Rattus norvegicus: one gene and its partners. The protein of the gene in region 1 purifies or fractionates together with the protein of each later gene. This does not show direct contact. Links are inferred from orthologs where the notes say so. Each region holds a gene or a part of one and is shown in the gene's direction. Other genes may lie near its edges.

Region 1 (4,229 bases):
GGTAGGAAAAAGTGATTCCTGCAAGTAATCATCTGACCCCGCATAACGAAGCAAAGGTGATTCCAAACGGAGCAGGGGCCTGACAGATGCCTCAGTGCAATGAGCACAGTAAGAAATGCATTTTAGACATGTAAAAAATAGCTTAGTCACGCTTACCTAGGAAGCGCAAGGCCCTGGGTTCGGTCCCCAGCTCCGAAAAAAAGAACCAAAAAAAAAAAAAAATAGCTTAGTCAGAAACCCCACTACACCCAAGGCTGCACCTGCTAACCAGAGCCCAGTGATGTCACTCACTCAAGATAATCAGACACTCATAAACCCCATGACACCCACTGGACAGTACGTAAACAGAGACTAAGCAATGCTCTGGTCTGCCCTGCAGCTGGAGAGTCTCCCCCAGGATCCTGGCCCTTCCAGGATTGAGACTTTGTTAGAGGCTGGACCCGACCTTCAGCTAGGATACCTAGGACAAGGGAGCAGCGTTGGGGAGACAGGCTTAGGACCACAGTTAGGAATTTAGAGTGCGAACCTTGTGATGACCCTCAGCACAATAAAATATAACTTTTGTTACACTACTTGCTATACAAACCACACATTATCTACCTTCTTGCTCGAGACACTTGGGAGTTAAGAATCCTTGATGTTCTGACAGAGGACCTGGTACCCTTCTCAGCACCCACAGTGAAGCCCACAATCACTTAATTCATACGTGCAGGTGAAACACTGTCGTTTAAGTAAATCCAAAAATAATAGTAATTCAAAAGGAAAACCATGCTCAATGCTATTATCCAGGTCTAAGTTCAGAGGGCATTCCTTTCCATCAAATAAGGGAAAAATACGCCCAGGAATGGGAATGGGTTAGTGAGCTTAGGCGAGGAACCACAAAGGCACGATGCGAATAGTTGTTTAATTTCTCTTACGGCACCGGTTTTTCTCTCCAACACTCGTTCACTAGAAGTTCAGGTGGACAGGAGTTTCCAGTCTTTCCCAGCTAACGAGCTTGCTCCATGTGTTAATGCGGCATCCCCACTGGACATTCTGCATTCACTTCCCCCTCCCCTCATCAAGGGCGTCGGGACTTGGTGTCTTCGTTAAGATCTAGTGCACTACCAGGACATTATATAATTTTTCTGAGTTGTAACTCGAACCAGGACCTGTTCAGGGATTCCACCACCAAGCCTTGTTTAACACTTCTATGTTTCAAAGAAGGTGGAGACAACAGCCGTGCCCAGGCCTGGCACTAACTGCCACCAAAAGAACTAAGCTTGCCAAAACCTGGGAGCCAGAAGGGAACAGAAAACTAAGGAGACCCGGAGCTGTTGCGAGGGGGCGTGAGCAAGCGCCCTGAGGGCGTGGCCAGGCGCAGGGAGAACTGGGAACTGGGGCGGTGGCCAGGCGCGGGGAACCCTGGGAGCCGGGCGCGCGGAACCCTGGGAACTGGGGGTCGAGCTGTGGACGGACAAGGGATCGGGGGCGGGGCGAGGCGCGGGGAGACATGGGAACGGGGGGAGGAGCGGCCCAGCGCGCGAGCCTAACGGCTGAAGTCGAAGCGCGGGAGACTCCGCCGGTGAGGCTCCGCCTTGCGTGGGTTTGAACGAAGCTCCGCCCCGCACGCCACCAATCGGCGCTCGCGCGGCGGCGCCATGGCGACCCTTTGTGGGCACTGACTGATCCCGGGGCCAGACGGAGTGGCGGGTCTGCCTTGCGGCGCCGGTGAGTGTGTCGATGATTTGCTCCTTCGAGCCTCTGAGGCCTGGGCGGCGTCCATGCAGGCACCTCCAGGGCGGTCGGGTGGCGGCAGGGTCCTCGGCCCTCCTGGGCCGGCCGACCTTCGGCGCTCAGGACGACGCGGCGTGTTGAGTGACACATACCGAGAGCCGGAGCGGCGGGTCTGAGCTGGCCGTCCCGCCCTCCGCCCACGCTCCCCTGCTTCCGCTCTCTCTTCCTCCTGTGGCCTTTCCTCTCTCCTTTCTCCTCTGTCCCCCCTTCTTTGGTTCACCCCGCGTCGGTCCTCCGTCTCACCTTTCGGGCTGGCCGCCGGTGCTGTGCGTGTCCCTTAAGAGCTGCGCGTGGCCAGCAGTTTTGGGGGGACTGGACTTTGTCTGGCTTCTAGCCCCGAGCGTCTGTCTGCTAGCCAGAGACCGATTCCGAGAGGGCTGGGTGGACTCCGTGCAGTCGCCTGCCTGGTGAGTGTTGGCCTTGCTTTCTTTCCCTTTGTTTCTTGGATTTTAATTCCCCTGAGAAGTGTCTTGTGTTGCTTGTTCTTCCCCTACTGCAATAGACTCCACGTCCTTTTAAAATGATCATTTGTGGCCCAATAGATACTACCTGGAACGGCATCGGTGGAACTCGACTGGAACCAGGCTCTGTCTTCGGTAGCTTGTCCTGAGGCCAAATGGAACTAGGAAAAAAAGCTCCAGGAACCTTTTCTAAAGTTTTTCTCCCCTAGATAGGGTCACCAGGGAAGGGGCTTCTTCCAGAACTTGAAACGAATGTACAGCACCCGTATATTTTCTCCTGGTGGCCTTTGTATCTGACCTACCAGAAGACAGAGCTGAGCTTGCCGTTGATTTAAATGATTCTGGGAAACATTTTCTGCACGCAGAAAGTTTGATGTTTCATCAGCCTCCTGCATTGCAGCCTTGTTTGGTTTTATGGATGAAATTAAAAATGCATTCAGAAATCTCCCCCATTTTAGAGGTGCTAGTCTTAAAAGGAAGGAGATCAGGAAGGTTCCCTCAGATTGTCACTGGAACCTACCTTCAGGCATAAGAAAGTTCCACATCCTTCCAAGGGTAACTCTGCTAAAGGTTTTTTAGTAACCATTGATACAAAGTGTGAAGCGGACACAGTGGGACAAAAAACTCCCATCAAATGACCGTTAAGTTCATTGACCCAGCATTTTCCAACTTGTTCCTCTTCCAGTTGCACTTTGAGGAGGTACTTTAATGCAGTTGTGATTTGTTTATTTGTTTGTTTGTTTGTTTGTTTTGAGACAGGATTTCCTGCAGGCCAGGGTGGCCTCAGACTGACAGTGCAACCAGAAACAACCTTGCTCCCCTTCTCTCTGCTTCCCAAGTGTGCCACCATACCCAGCCCAGAAACCACTAACTTCTGGTTCTCCTTAAAACCCAGCATCAGATGAATGCTGGATTGTGGTTACAGTCCCAGCCCGAGTTGTGCTAGGTCTGCTCAGATAAAGCCAAGACTAATGGCTGGTCAGAGCCCAGGAAGCTGCATTTCCACATGGTCACTGAGGTAGGCCTGCTCCAAGATAGGATGGTTGTGGAGTCCTAGGCGGTCTCTTTACCTCAGATTGCTGTATGGGTAGTTAACATTCTCTTCCTCCTCACTGTCCACTGGCCTCTGCTGGCCTCAACACTGTGTCTGAGCTCCCAAGAGTTCCTGGCTCTTGTCACTCAGCCAGTGCTTGTGGGGGAGAAAGTCAGAGGACAGGATTGTGGGTTGACTTAGCTTTGGGTTGAAGGGATGTTACACATTTACCTAGACTTGAAAAGACCTTTTGGCCATCTGGAAGTGAGGTGTAAGATATGGAACATAATTTATACAGAATTTAGCAGGGAGAATTTCCTGTTATCTTTCATTAGAAGGATTAAGCAACATCAGGTCAGGCACACAAGGCCACAGGAAGCTGTGCCCAGGCGGGTACAGGAGAGCCCCTGTGCAGGCACCAGTTAGGGCTAGTCAGAACCTGTGCTGGTGATGCAGACCTTCACCCTCAGGCTCCCTCCTTCCTCTTGCTCTCTTGCTAGAAGCTACTCTGTCACCATCCTGTTCTCTATGACTGTGTTCTAGAGTGACAGATAAGCAAACAACAGTGTTTCATTCTGGGCTTAGTTATTTTACTTTTTTATTGGTGTGTGTGTACCTTCTGAGGCCGCAAGAGGACACTGGATCCAAGGAACTGGAGGTATAGGGAGTCATTAGCCATTGTGTGAGTTCTGGGTACCCAGCCTTTATCATGTGTCATTTCTCCAGCCACCTTCCTTGTTTAAAAATCTTTAAATGTGAGGATGATAATCAAGACAGAAGGACAGTATCTGCTCCTAGCAAGACAGGGAGTGTGTTGGTTAAACCCCTGCTGTGTAAGACTTGTCTAGACCCTAAGGGAAAGGGATAGAGAGCAGAGTTTAATTTGCAAAGTTAGTAAGTCAGGAGAAGCAGTTTGATGGCAAATATACACGGGGAGGTGAGTGCTTCTTAGAGAACAG
Region 2 (3,487 bases), on another chromosome or scaffold:
AATGTCCATAATATATCAATTACAAGTTTAAGAATGGCTACCATGTGTGTGCATACTTTTTAATCTTACCAATTACGAGACAAAGAGAGGTGGCTCTCTTGAGTTCAAGGTCACCCTGATGTGCAAGGTGAGTTCCAGGTTAATCAGAGCTACATACAGTAAAAACCTGCCTCGGAAAAGAAGATGATAATAATGAGAAAGACCACAAGGAGAATGAACAATGGGAAATACAGTGTCAAGGAGGAGTGAGGCTAGTCGTATTGCCTGGCCTCCTGTGGCATTCTGCTAACATCAGTATAGTGGGAAGATCTTGCACAATAAAGACAAGAAACCTGAAACATCAGCCAACCCGCTTATTGACTGTTGGGGAGCACACAGCTAAATTGTTTGTGTGTAAAAAAGGCACTGGGCATCAGTGAACAAGACCAGCTGGATCACGAAATTAGTAACAGGACTGAGGGTATAGCTTAGTGGTAAAGCATCTGCTGAAGCTGTAAAGGTCCTGAAATTGAAAGCCCAGCAACACAAAAAAGATCTGTTATATTCAAAATACAGCTGCATGGAAGTTACACCCATCTGTTTTGAGGCGATGTCTTTCTAAAAGGTACTTTGTAGATTGTAACCATCTCAGAGATGGCTTACAGCTAATGGTCTCTATTGTATCTGAAATACTGCAGCACATCCCCAAGAATATGGAAAGTTTTCCTGGTAACGTTTGCTCCATCCCTTCATTTCCTGCAGTCCTTTCCTCCATCTTCTTGCTCAGAAGCTTCTGTGTCTCAGTGGAGTGGAGTGGAGTGTCGCCGTCTTCTGTCAATGCCTGTGAAGCTCTGCATTTCAGTGTTCCACTTTAGTCAGCAAAGAGACAGTTACCTGCACCATGTTTTGTTCTGTTTCTGGGTGGGGCAAACCTGAACCAGGCTACCTGCTTCTCCTGCTGCACTCAGGTGCTGGGTAGGTGAGGAGATGCCCACTTCAGTGCAGGCACCTGCTGCTATACAGTGCACCAGCAGTTCATACCCATGCCGATGACACACTTCTTCCTGAGAAATACTTTTGGCCACTGTGCTCTTTGTTCTTGTTGCAATTGCTAATGGCCTCACCCCTACTTCCATAAGCATCAAATTCCACATGGAAATAAATCGAAGAGGATTGTAACAGTGGGTCCTCTCCTGCAAACACAGTTCTGCACACTTATTTCAGGTGCTCTCTCCAGAGTGTACCAGCCATGGCTCTCATCTCCAGCCTCCCTGGTGCTGCTTGTTTGAACAGATTTGAATGAACAAGAGTAGCTGTAACAGGGCTTTTCTGTAAGTTTATTTGGTATGGAGTTTGAGGTAAGGCTAACTGATGCTAAAATATTTACAGGCAGCTAGGAAGAATCCCGAGCAATGTAGTAACTTGAAGAACTTAGGCATTGTAAAGACCACTAGCCATGCAGCTCTAAGACAGCAAGACCATGGAGGTCAGGATAGGAACAGGAGAGTTTGAGGGTTTCCAAGGAGAAGGCAGAAGAGATTGGTTGGTCTTCACTTGGCGGAAAAGTCAAAGAGCCATGTGGAATATCCTTTGTTTTGTCTTTTTGAAACAGCATTATGTATTTTGTAACCCAACCTGACCTTTAACCTGCTATAGAAATAGGCATGGTGGCATACACCTGTGTCCTCTGTACTTATACACGTACAGGAAAATCAGGAGTAGGTGGTTATCCTCTGGCATATAACAAGTTTGAGGCTAGCCTATGCTATATGAAATCTTGTTTCTAAACCCAAAACAAAATGGAGAGGTGGGGAGGGTGGTTCCTCAGTGTATGGCAACTGCCTACAATCCCAATACTAGCATCAGCTTGCAAACCACATACACATTCTAAAATATAGAAAAAAAAGACCTCTTCCAAAATTATGGATCAAATTGTGACAGCCTCCTGCCTCAGCTGTCTTGATGTTGGGATTACAGATGTACACCTCCACTGTACCTAGCTTTGAAAGAAACTTAGAAATTTAGATCAGGCTGGCCTCAAACTCGGATCTGCCTCCCAGGTGCTAGACTAAAAGTGATTTGGCCGGAGTTAAATTTTCATCTTTCTTCCTCATCCCTCCTTTCTTCTCCGCCCCAGTCTGCCTGCTTCTCCTTCCTCTCCTCTCCTAATTCTTCTACACGTTAATTAGATGAGAGAGATAGAGGAGTTGTGTTCTCAGCCCCCATGTCAGACAGCTCACATTTGCAAGGCATCCAACACACGCTACTTCCTTGGTGGGAATGTATTTAAATTATGGCTCCATTACTTTTCTTACTTGGACATGAAAATAAGTGAAGTTCACTGCAGAACCTGTACTACATTTCTTTCCTGATAATGTAGAAATGTGGGCCTGTAGAGGGTCCATACTTCATGCCATTACCCTGGTTCATGCCATTGCCATGGTCCTGCTAGGTACTCAGTGTCCCCTCTTTTCTCTCCTGAACAGTGCCATTATGACGGGGTCCTACAACAACTTCTTTAGAATGTTTGATAGAAACACTCGGAGGGATGTTACACTGGAAGCCTCAAGAGAGAACAGCAAGCCCCGAGCCAGCCTGAAGCCCCGGAAAGTGTGTTCAGGGGGTAAGAGGAAGAAGGATGAGATTAGCGTGGACAGTTTGGACTTCAATAAGAAGATCCTTCACACAGCCTGGCACCCCATGGAGAGCATTATTGCTGTAGCTGCCACCAATAACTTGTATATATTCCAGGACAAAATTAATTAAGGAACTGACTGGAGGACCAAGTGTTGTCTTGCATACATACATAAGCCGGTCGTTTTCCTGTCCAAAAAAGGCATTGTCCTCTCCATTGAGAATAGTGACGCACTTCTACTTCCCTCATAGACACAGGAGAAGAAGGGGTCTCAGCTGGAGCCTTGGGAGAGATGAGTGCTGCTGCTGAAGGGAAAACCTACTTGAAGCTGAATTGGTGGACTCTGCTCAATAAAGGCCATTACTCAAATGTATTTATTTAAGTCTGAGCCTTCCTTTCCAGTTTTTAGACCAAAAAACTAACATCTGAGAGGAAAAAAAATCTCATCAAATCTCTCCAGCTCTTACCTCTGTCTCTGCCATCCATCCCTGGGCCTTATCCTGGACATGGTGTGGCCACCACCCACGTTCCTCTCTGGCCCTGGAGCCCCAGTGGGCTGCATCACCCACCGCTGGTGCGTGGTGCATGGCTGTGCCCGAGCAGGCTCAGGCAGCTCTCCTCACCCACTGCACCTGCCATCACACCTTCTGTGGAGCTACTTAATAAACACAGCACACTGTGAAGTGTTTTTAAATCCAAATGCCACTGCAGTCTTTATTTGTTTCAATTGCACATAATGAAAGTACTCAGGCTATTTATACTTTGGAATAAATTGAGAACTTTTTTCCTTTAGCAGAATGGTTGAGTTTATACAGAATTTCAGATTCTACATGTAACTATCCCAAATTGCCACTTGGTTTCTGTAGAAACTCC
Region 3 (3,500 bases), on another chromosome or scaffold:
CAGCCCCTCAGCTAGTTTCTTGAGGGAAAGTCAACAAACTTAGTTTTCTAGAGACAAAAGCCCCAGACTGGACATGTTCAACAGCTGTGTTGTTGCTGTTCTTGAATCTGGAAGTGTGAAGTCGGGGTATCAATAGCCTTGGTCCTGGTTTCTTCTGAGGCTGCTCTTTTTGGCGCTATTATGGCAAGTCCAAGGTAGAGAATGCTAGAATGCTTTACATTCCACTGGAGGTCAGTGTTTCCTTCAGCAAAGGCAGGGAGGGGGTTGGGGGAAACACACACACACACACACACACACACACACACACACACACACCTACCTTTGAGTTTGGGCAGTATGCTTTGTTTCCCTGACATTTCATTCATTCACATTCCATTCTGGCTCTGGCAGGAGCTGGAGCACACCAAATCTAGTCTTGGGCACAGGTGATCAAAGGTAGAAAAGAATTTCCTGGTTGAAGACATAACTCCTGAAAGTGAGTTCCTGCATATTTAAAGTTTTACTGAACATCCTGTGTTGCATTTATCTATGTGGTCTTTGTCCCTGTTGAGAGGAACCCAAAATTGAGGTTACAGCAGTTGTGCTACTCAGTTACCATCCCACACCTAGCATGGGCCAGAAAAGGCAGATATGGTGTTTGGACTTATTCTGCTCACCAGGTAGATGATGATTAGGAATGGCAGGTTGGGAGATAGGGGTGCTGACAGTGAGGAAGCTGAGTGGTTTTGCTTATTGGAAGCTTGGGTTACTGGTTCGGCTTGAGTTTTTAATGGGCTTGGTCTTTGACCCACAGATACCATCTATGATGAAGATGAGGTCCTCTTGGCTTTGGCTGAACAGCTGGGAACCTTCACCACTTTGGTGGGAGGACCCGAGTATGTGCACTGTCTGCTGGTGAGTGAAAGCTGCGAAGTTTCTTAATCCTCTTTTCTGCCTTGGGGTTAGAATGGTGGTCCAAGAAGCAGAGGATTTAGGAAGGCTGGATGTGACCTCAGAATGGATTACCTTTGGATGTAACTTTCACTCAAGTCAGTAGTGTCATTTAATCTATAGTCGCCATCCATTCTGCAAACTTAACCACACTAGGACCCTGTGGCATTCCACCCATAGGATTTTGAGTTTGGGTCGGGCCAGGTTCTATTATTTACTGGTATGACTTTAAGAGTACTATAGTAAGTATTCACAATTAGATTTTGTGGTTGTCATGGTTGTGTAAGATATGTTATCTACCAGTTTGGGTTGCAAGGTTCACTTGATGGCTGAACCACCTAGAGTACCAGTAGGTTAAGCCATCTCTCATCAGGGACTCTTAGCTAGTAATCATGCATTGTCAAGATTGTTTGCTTGATTGCACCAGGCTATACCATACCTTGCCGTACTGCACCGTACCATACCATACTATACCAAACCATCTGTGTATCTCTGTTGAGTGACAGCTAGAAACACCAACAGAATCCGATCCTGACAGGACCTGCTAGGTACGGAAGGATAACCAAGTGATCTTTTAGATCTTGGCTGTTAGCAGCTTAGGCAAATTGCATAACCTATATACTTCCAATTCCTGCTCTTTGATTAATGAGGATAGTATCAAAACTGTTTTACAAGACTCACATAGAAGGAGTTTTGATCAAAAAAAGGTGAGCAATACAGTATCTGAAACCTAGGTCATGGGTATTAGAGCCGCATCATTAGTGTTTATTGTATATTGAGAGCCACACACACACATGGGCCTCTTAAGAGATCCTTGTAGGAAGCTTGTTATCACAAGCATGGGGCTGGGGAGATAAGAGGAGTCTCCCTCCAGTCAGGCCATGAGGTAGGGTTCCACAACTGAAACAGTAAGAAAAACACTGGTCTCTAACCTTCTGTTCTCATCACAGCCACCTCTTGAGTCACTGGCCACAGTGGAAGAGACAGTAGTGCGAGACAAGGCGGTAGAATCCTTGCGGGCCATCTCTCATGAGCACTCACCTTCCGATCTAGAGGCTCACTTTGTGCCTCTGGTGAAGCGGCTGGCGGGTGGAGACTGGTTCACCTCCCGTACCTCAGCCTGTGGTCTCTTCTCAGTTTGCTACCCCCGAGTATCCAGTGCCGTGAAGGCAGAACTTCGACAGTGAGTTCTCATTCCCATCACTTTACCTAAACCCTCCTCTAAGCCTAATGTCCTTGATGTCTCCCTACTCCCTCCCTGCTCCTAGCTCTCTTCAAAGAGGCTTGTCCTTCACAGTGATCATTGGACACCATACCTCAGCATCGAATTTTCCTTTTCTGCCTTCATGGAAATTTATTCCTACCATTAGTTATACCTGTGGGCTTGGAGCAGAATACAATACAACAAATAGTATCTAGTGTTATCTCCAGCCTGCCCCAGGTTTAGACCCCTCATTTGATAACTGCCTTGTTGTTCAGACCTAATAAGCCAAAGTTTCTGAGTTGTCACTTCATACAACTGGGTTAAAGCCACATATATATATATATATGCACGTGCTGTATGTCTCCATTAGTTCTTAGGAGGCAATTGCTCCTGAAATGGTAGACGAGTCATTTGCATTTTAAACAGTTGTTAGTACTGTGTTGTACTCTTTGACTGAGACCTCAAGTCAGCTTTGTGGGGACTTGCTACTGCCATTGGTCAATTTATAGAGCTGAGAAGACAAAGAGGTCATGAATTGTACAAAGTCACCATTGTCAGCACCAGAATTTACTGCAGACCCAGCAGTGCTCTGTGCTGTGCTGTTCTGTGCTGTGCTATACTGTGACACCAGCTGGTAGGGCTTTCCAGGATTCCAACTCTGGGCCTCCATCCAATTCCAGGTACTTCCGGAACCTGTGCTCAGATGATACCCCCATGGTGCGGCGGGCCGCTGCCTCCAAGCTGGGGGAGTTTGCCAAGGTACTGGAGCTGGACAATGTCAAGAGTGAGATCATTCCCATGTTCTCTAACCTGGCCTCTGACGAGCAGGTAAGCCAGTCACCAACTCTCACCATGCCCTTGCTAGCTGAGGAAGGAATGCACCCTTAAGGCTCAGTGGGCCTCTGCTTCCCTGCCCCTCCCTGTGTTTTCCCAGGACTCGGTGCGGCTGCTGGCAGTAGAGGCATGCGTGAATATCGCCCAGCTTCTGCCCCAGGAGGACCTGGAGGCCTTAGTGATGCCCACCTTGCGACAGGCTGCTGAGGACAAGTCTTGGCGTGTCCGCTACATGGTGGCAGACAAATTCACAGAGGTAAGTTGGCATAGTTCCACAGATGGGAACACTGAAGCTTTCTGAGGGGAGGAGGGAGCAACATATAGGAGATGACATGCTTTATTTTTTAGGACAGCAGTCCGTCCTGAGTCTTAATGGGCAACCGAATCATCTCCCAGAGCCAGTCCTTGTGGGTGATTTGAATCAAAGTGCTGTAATGAGAATGATTTTGAAGCCAAGTTTCAATTCCATGAAAGCATTTTTCCTGAACTCACAACTTCCCTAAGAAAGACACAGCCCCAGTAATAGTTGTCA
Region 4 (3,500 bases), on another chromosome or scaffold:
ACACGTTTGTGTACAGCAGCAGTAAAGGGACCATTCGCTTATGTGACATGAGGGCATCTGCACTCTGTGACAGGCATTCTAAACGTAAGTCTGTTTCTGCCCTTTCTTTAAAATGGTCATCTACTCAGACTTGACCTGGGCTTGTGTGTCTGTGGTATTCCACAGGGAGCCCACAGGGTAGGAGGGTCTGTCGGGTATAGGTATAACCAAACTCTGTAGTATGATATCAGTTAGAGCTTCCTTCCTTTCCTCCCTTCCCATTTCGTCTCCAAGAATGGTCTTTCTCATCTTTATAAAATGTTGAGGAAACATGAGCTTTTAAATGAATGAGGCTGGGGACCTGATTCAGCAATGAAGAAGACTGGGGCGGCTCAGAGCTGTTTGTATGTGGCACCAGTTCCAAAGGAACAACACCTTGTTCTGCACACACTCTTCATACACATCAATACATACCATACACATAGTAAAATAAAAGTAAATAAACTATTTTAAAATCCAAACAAGGGGGTTGTAAAATTATTTTCTTGGCTTTGGTTGCATTGAAAAATCCAAATATGTTCCAGTTGACAAAATCCTAGATAGGTGGGGTTGGTGGTGGTTTCCAGAGTGATGCTATAGAGGCAGTGGCGTCGGGTGTGCACTGAGGTAAAGAACCTTGGGAGTCCTCTGCAGAACCAGAATCCTACCTTATTAGCAGGATTCTGCACTTTGTATTGATACTTTTCTCTCAAAAGACTTTGTGAGGAAACATGTTCCTAAAGCTGGCAAAATGTTTTAATTTTTCTGGATTAGCCTGTGATTTTTATCTCACTTGAGTGGCTACTTTGGAAAATGATTTATCCAAGCCCAAATATGAAACATTTTCCCTTCTTTTTCAGTGTTTGAAGAACCCGAAGATCCCAGCAACAGGTCGTTTTTTTCTGAAATCATCTCCTCAATTTCTGATGTAAAATTCAGCCACAGTGGTCGCTATATGATGACTAGAGACTATTTGTCAGTCAAAGTTTGGGACTTGAATATGGAAAACAGGCCCGTGGAGACATACCAGGTATTTGCAGGCTGTTTCTTTTGAAGAGTGTGTACCTGTGGGAGGTGTGTTGGGGTGCTCCTTACATGGGTTTGGAGTGCTACACTGTTGACTAGCTTTTCTCAGAATCTGAGTCATGAAATATGCTACCATCGCCGGTGTAAAGTATATTGTCTGTTCAGGGTTACACTTAATTTTGTTACTCATGTGGTTCATTACTGGCAAATTGGTGTGCTCCTTTGTTTGTGAGAGTGAGAAGTGGAGGTAGGCACAGGGTTGGGGAGAACACTCTTAGCAGAGGGCACACCCCAAACAGTGTGGGTAATAGTGAGTCAGAGCTTAAATCTGAGCAGCCAAGTCATGGCTCCTTTTTGGCTAACTGTCTCAAGTTTTAAAGGATCTGAAATCTCAGCCTACGGCTTTAGGAAAGTTTCTCCAGTGCAAAATGTACATGCAGGTTTCTCCCTCTGTCAGCTAGCTTCTATCCTTGACCAGTATCTGTGACATCACAGGCAGGAGAAACTGAGTTGCACAGTGCAGCACAAGTCAGTCCAGCAGGGCCTATGGAGCAAGGTATAGAAAACAGTCAGACTGCTCTGGATTCAGGACATGCACGGTGTACATACAGAACAATTAGGAGACACTCCTCCAGTCTTAATTTTTCAAACCTCTAAATATGTTGCATTGACACAAAGAGAGAAAATCGTGCTTTGTTTTCAAAGTGTTGGCAGTGGCAAGGAGAGCTACATTTTGTAGCTGTCTTTCTTAAGTTGGCAGTGAGACTAGCTTCACAGTCCTGTCTGCATTATATGGTCATCTTGCTGACTCTGTGGGACTAAAGGCTATTTTTGGTGTTTCTTTGTTTTTCTTCCCATTAATATGTCAGTTGCAGTTCCACTAGCTAGGTGATGGTGGTGCCTTCCTCTAATCCCAGCACTTGGGAGGCAGAGGCAGGTGAATCTCTGAGTTCCAAGCCAGTTAGGGCTACACAGAGAAACCCTGTCTCGAAAAAAAAAAACAATATATATATATATATATATATATATATATATATATATTTTTTTTAAGTATAGAATAGAGTTTATTCAGGATATGGGGAGGGGAGTTAAAAGGGCAGTAGGGACAGAGAAAGGCAGAGAGAGTAGCTGAGTAGAGGCTGGCCATGAGCACGTGGAGAGGTGGGGGTAGGGAGAAGAGGACAAAGCAAGAGCAAGAAGGCAAGAGGGGGAAAGAAGTTTTTTTAATGTTATATAAACATGGCTAGAATCACTCACTGCTTGTAACAAGTACAGTGGACATTTATACTGAGCTTAGGTCTGAGTGTGCAATGCACACTTGTAATACCAGAACTCAGGAACACGAAGCAGGAGGTTAGAGCCCCCTAAGTTTGAGACCAACCTGAGCAGCATAAATTAAACATGTCACCTACTGGTGGCTGTCATTTCTTCTTCCTAAAGGTCTCATTCAGTGAAACAGGAACGGTTGATAATTAATAATCTCAGCAAACACTGGGAAGTACCATCAGTGTAGAGATGTGCCATGCTTGACTGCCTTTTATGTCGAAGGTTTACTTACTTTTATGTTTATCTGATTGACTTTCCAAAATTACTCTTTGTGAAATACTAGTAAATGTAGAATAATAATTTCAAGAGATATGTCTTCATTACCTTTTTATGCTGAATAAATAATATTAAGTGATATTCATGTTTTATTGTATTTATTTGTGTGTATGTACATGAGTACACTATGTGCATACATATGAGAGTCAGAATAACCTACAGGATTTTGCTCTCTCTACTATGTATCTTGGGACTTGGGTCATCATGGCAAGCATTACTGGTCATCTGTCTCACTGCCCACCACTGAATTTCTGTTGAGTGATGTGGGTACATGAAAGCCAAGAGAAACCAGTTCATCACTGAACCATCACTGAAGCCTTGCTGCACTGTATATTTATTTTGGAACTAATTGGCCAAAATTAAATTTGTGCTCAGAAAATGGTACTTAAAGGCAAGGAAGCAGCATTCCTACTAGTAGTCGTGGGCGGAGTGCTAAGACGTGGAAATGGAATTCTGCTGCAATGTTTGTTAGTCTCTTATTCATCCTTTTCAATTACTTTCTGACTTAGGTGTGGTCTCCCTTAGTGTTCTATTGATGTCAAGAGACACCTGTGACCAAGACACCTGGGTGGGGTGGGGGCCAGAGGCAGGCAGATCTCTGTGAGTCCGGCCTGGCGCTGGAGCAGTGGCATTTACAAGCAGGAGCTGGGAGAGGCTGGGCCTGACTTGGGCTTTTAAGACCTCAAAGCCCGCCCCTAGTCTCATACCTCTTATCAGGGTACAGTGCACCCAGAAAGGTGGTTTTTTTTTCTTAGTTGTATCACAGGAAAGTGGGCCTGCCTAAGAGTTTGTCAAGATTAAGAGAAATAGTACTATTAAAGGGATGTGTGATTCTGTATACTCACTCTTTAAGT

What was found. Proteins that work in one complex are often made in the same cells at the same time.
Region 2: the proteins of Cdca4 (region 1) and Ppp2r2d purify together in Homo sapiens (affinity purification with mass spectrometry; 3 studies listed by BioGRID and IntAct, counting the BioPlex papers as one, with this or other methods). This does not show direct contact. The link is inferred for Rattus norvegicus from reciprocal best matches to the Homo sapiens genes CDCA4 and PPP2R2D.
Region 3: the proteins of Cdca4 (region 1) and Ppp2r1a purify together in Homo sapiens (affinity purification with mass spectrometry; 4 studies listed by BioGRID and IntAct, counting the BioPlex papers as one, with this or other methods). This does not show direct contact. The link is inferred for Rattus norvegicus from reciprocal best matches to the Homo sapiens genes CDCA4 and PPP2R1A.
Region 4: the proteins of Cdca4 (region 1) and Ppp2r2a purify together in Homo sapiens (affinity purification with mass spectrometry; 4 studies listed by BioGRID and IntAct, with this or other methods). This does not show direct contact. The link is inferred for Rattus norvegicus from reciprocal best matches to the Homo sapiens genes CDCA4 and PPP2R2A.

What each region holds. Positions count from the first base shown.
Region 1 is NC_086024.1:137,719,853-137,724,081, reverse strand, and holds the start of Cdca4 (cell division cycle-associated protein 4), read left to right. Parts: upstream 1-1,429; 5' UTR 1,430-1,710; exon of another isoform or gene 1,711-2,183; intron 2,184-2,996; exon of another isoform or gene 2,997-3,243; coding exon of another isoform or gene 3,244-3,255; intron 3,256-4,229. UniProt on the Homo sapiens protein: May participate in the regulation of cell proliferation through the E2F/RB pathway. May be involved in molecular regulation of hematopoietic stem cells and progenitor cell lineage commitment and differentiation.
Region 2 is NC_086019.1:203,126,582-203,130,068, forward strand, and holds the end of Ppp2r2d (serine/threonine-protein phosphatase 2A 55 kDa regulatory subunit B delta isoform), read left to right. Parts: intron 1-2,465; coding exon 2,466-2,745; 3' UTR 2,746-2,987; downstream 2,988-3,487. UniProt on the Homo sapiens protein: Substrate-recognition subunit of protein phosphatase 2A (PP2A) that plays a key role in cell cycle by controlling mitosis entry and exit. Involved in chromosome clustering during late mitosis by mediating dephosphorylation of MKI67.
Region 3 is NC_086019.1:69,219,698-69,223,197, forward strand, and holds part of Ppp2r1a (serine/threonine-protein phosphatase 2A 65 kDa regulatory subunit A alpha isoform), read left to right. Parts: intron 1-793; coding exon 794-894; intron 895-1,880; coding exon 1,881-2,113; intron 2,114-2,814; coding exon 2,815-2,962; intron 2,963-3,068; coding exon 3,069-3,224; intron 3,225-3,500. UniProt on the Homo sapiens protein: The PR65 subunit of protein phosphatase 2A serves as a scaffolding molecule to coordinate the assembly of the catalytic subunit and a variable regulatory B subunit.
Region 4 is NC_086033.1:45,383,906-45,387,405, reverse strand, and holds part of Ppp2r2a (serine/threonine-protein phosphatase 2A 55 kDa regulatory subunit B alpha isoform), read left to right. Parts: coding exon 1-84; intron 85-878; coding exon 879-1,048; intron 1,049-3,500. UniProt on the Homo sapiens protein: Substrate-recognition subunit of protein phosphatase 2A (PP2A) that plays a key role in cell cycle by controlling mitosis entry and exit. Involved in chromosome clustering during late mitosis by mediating dephosphorylation of MKI67.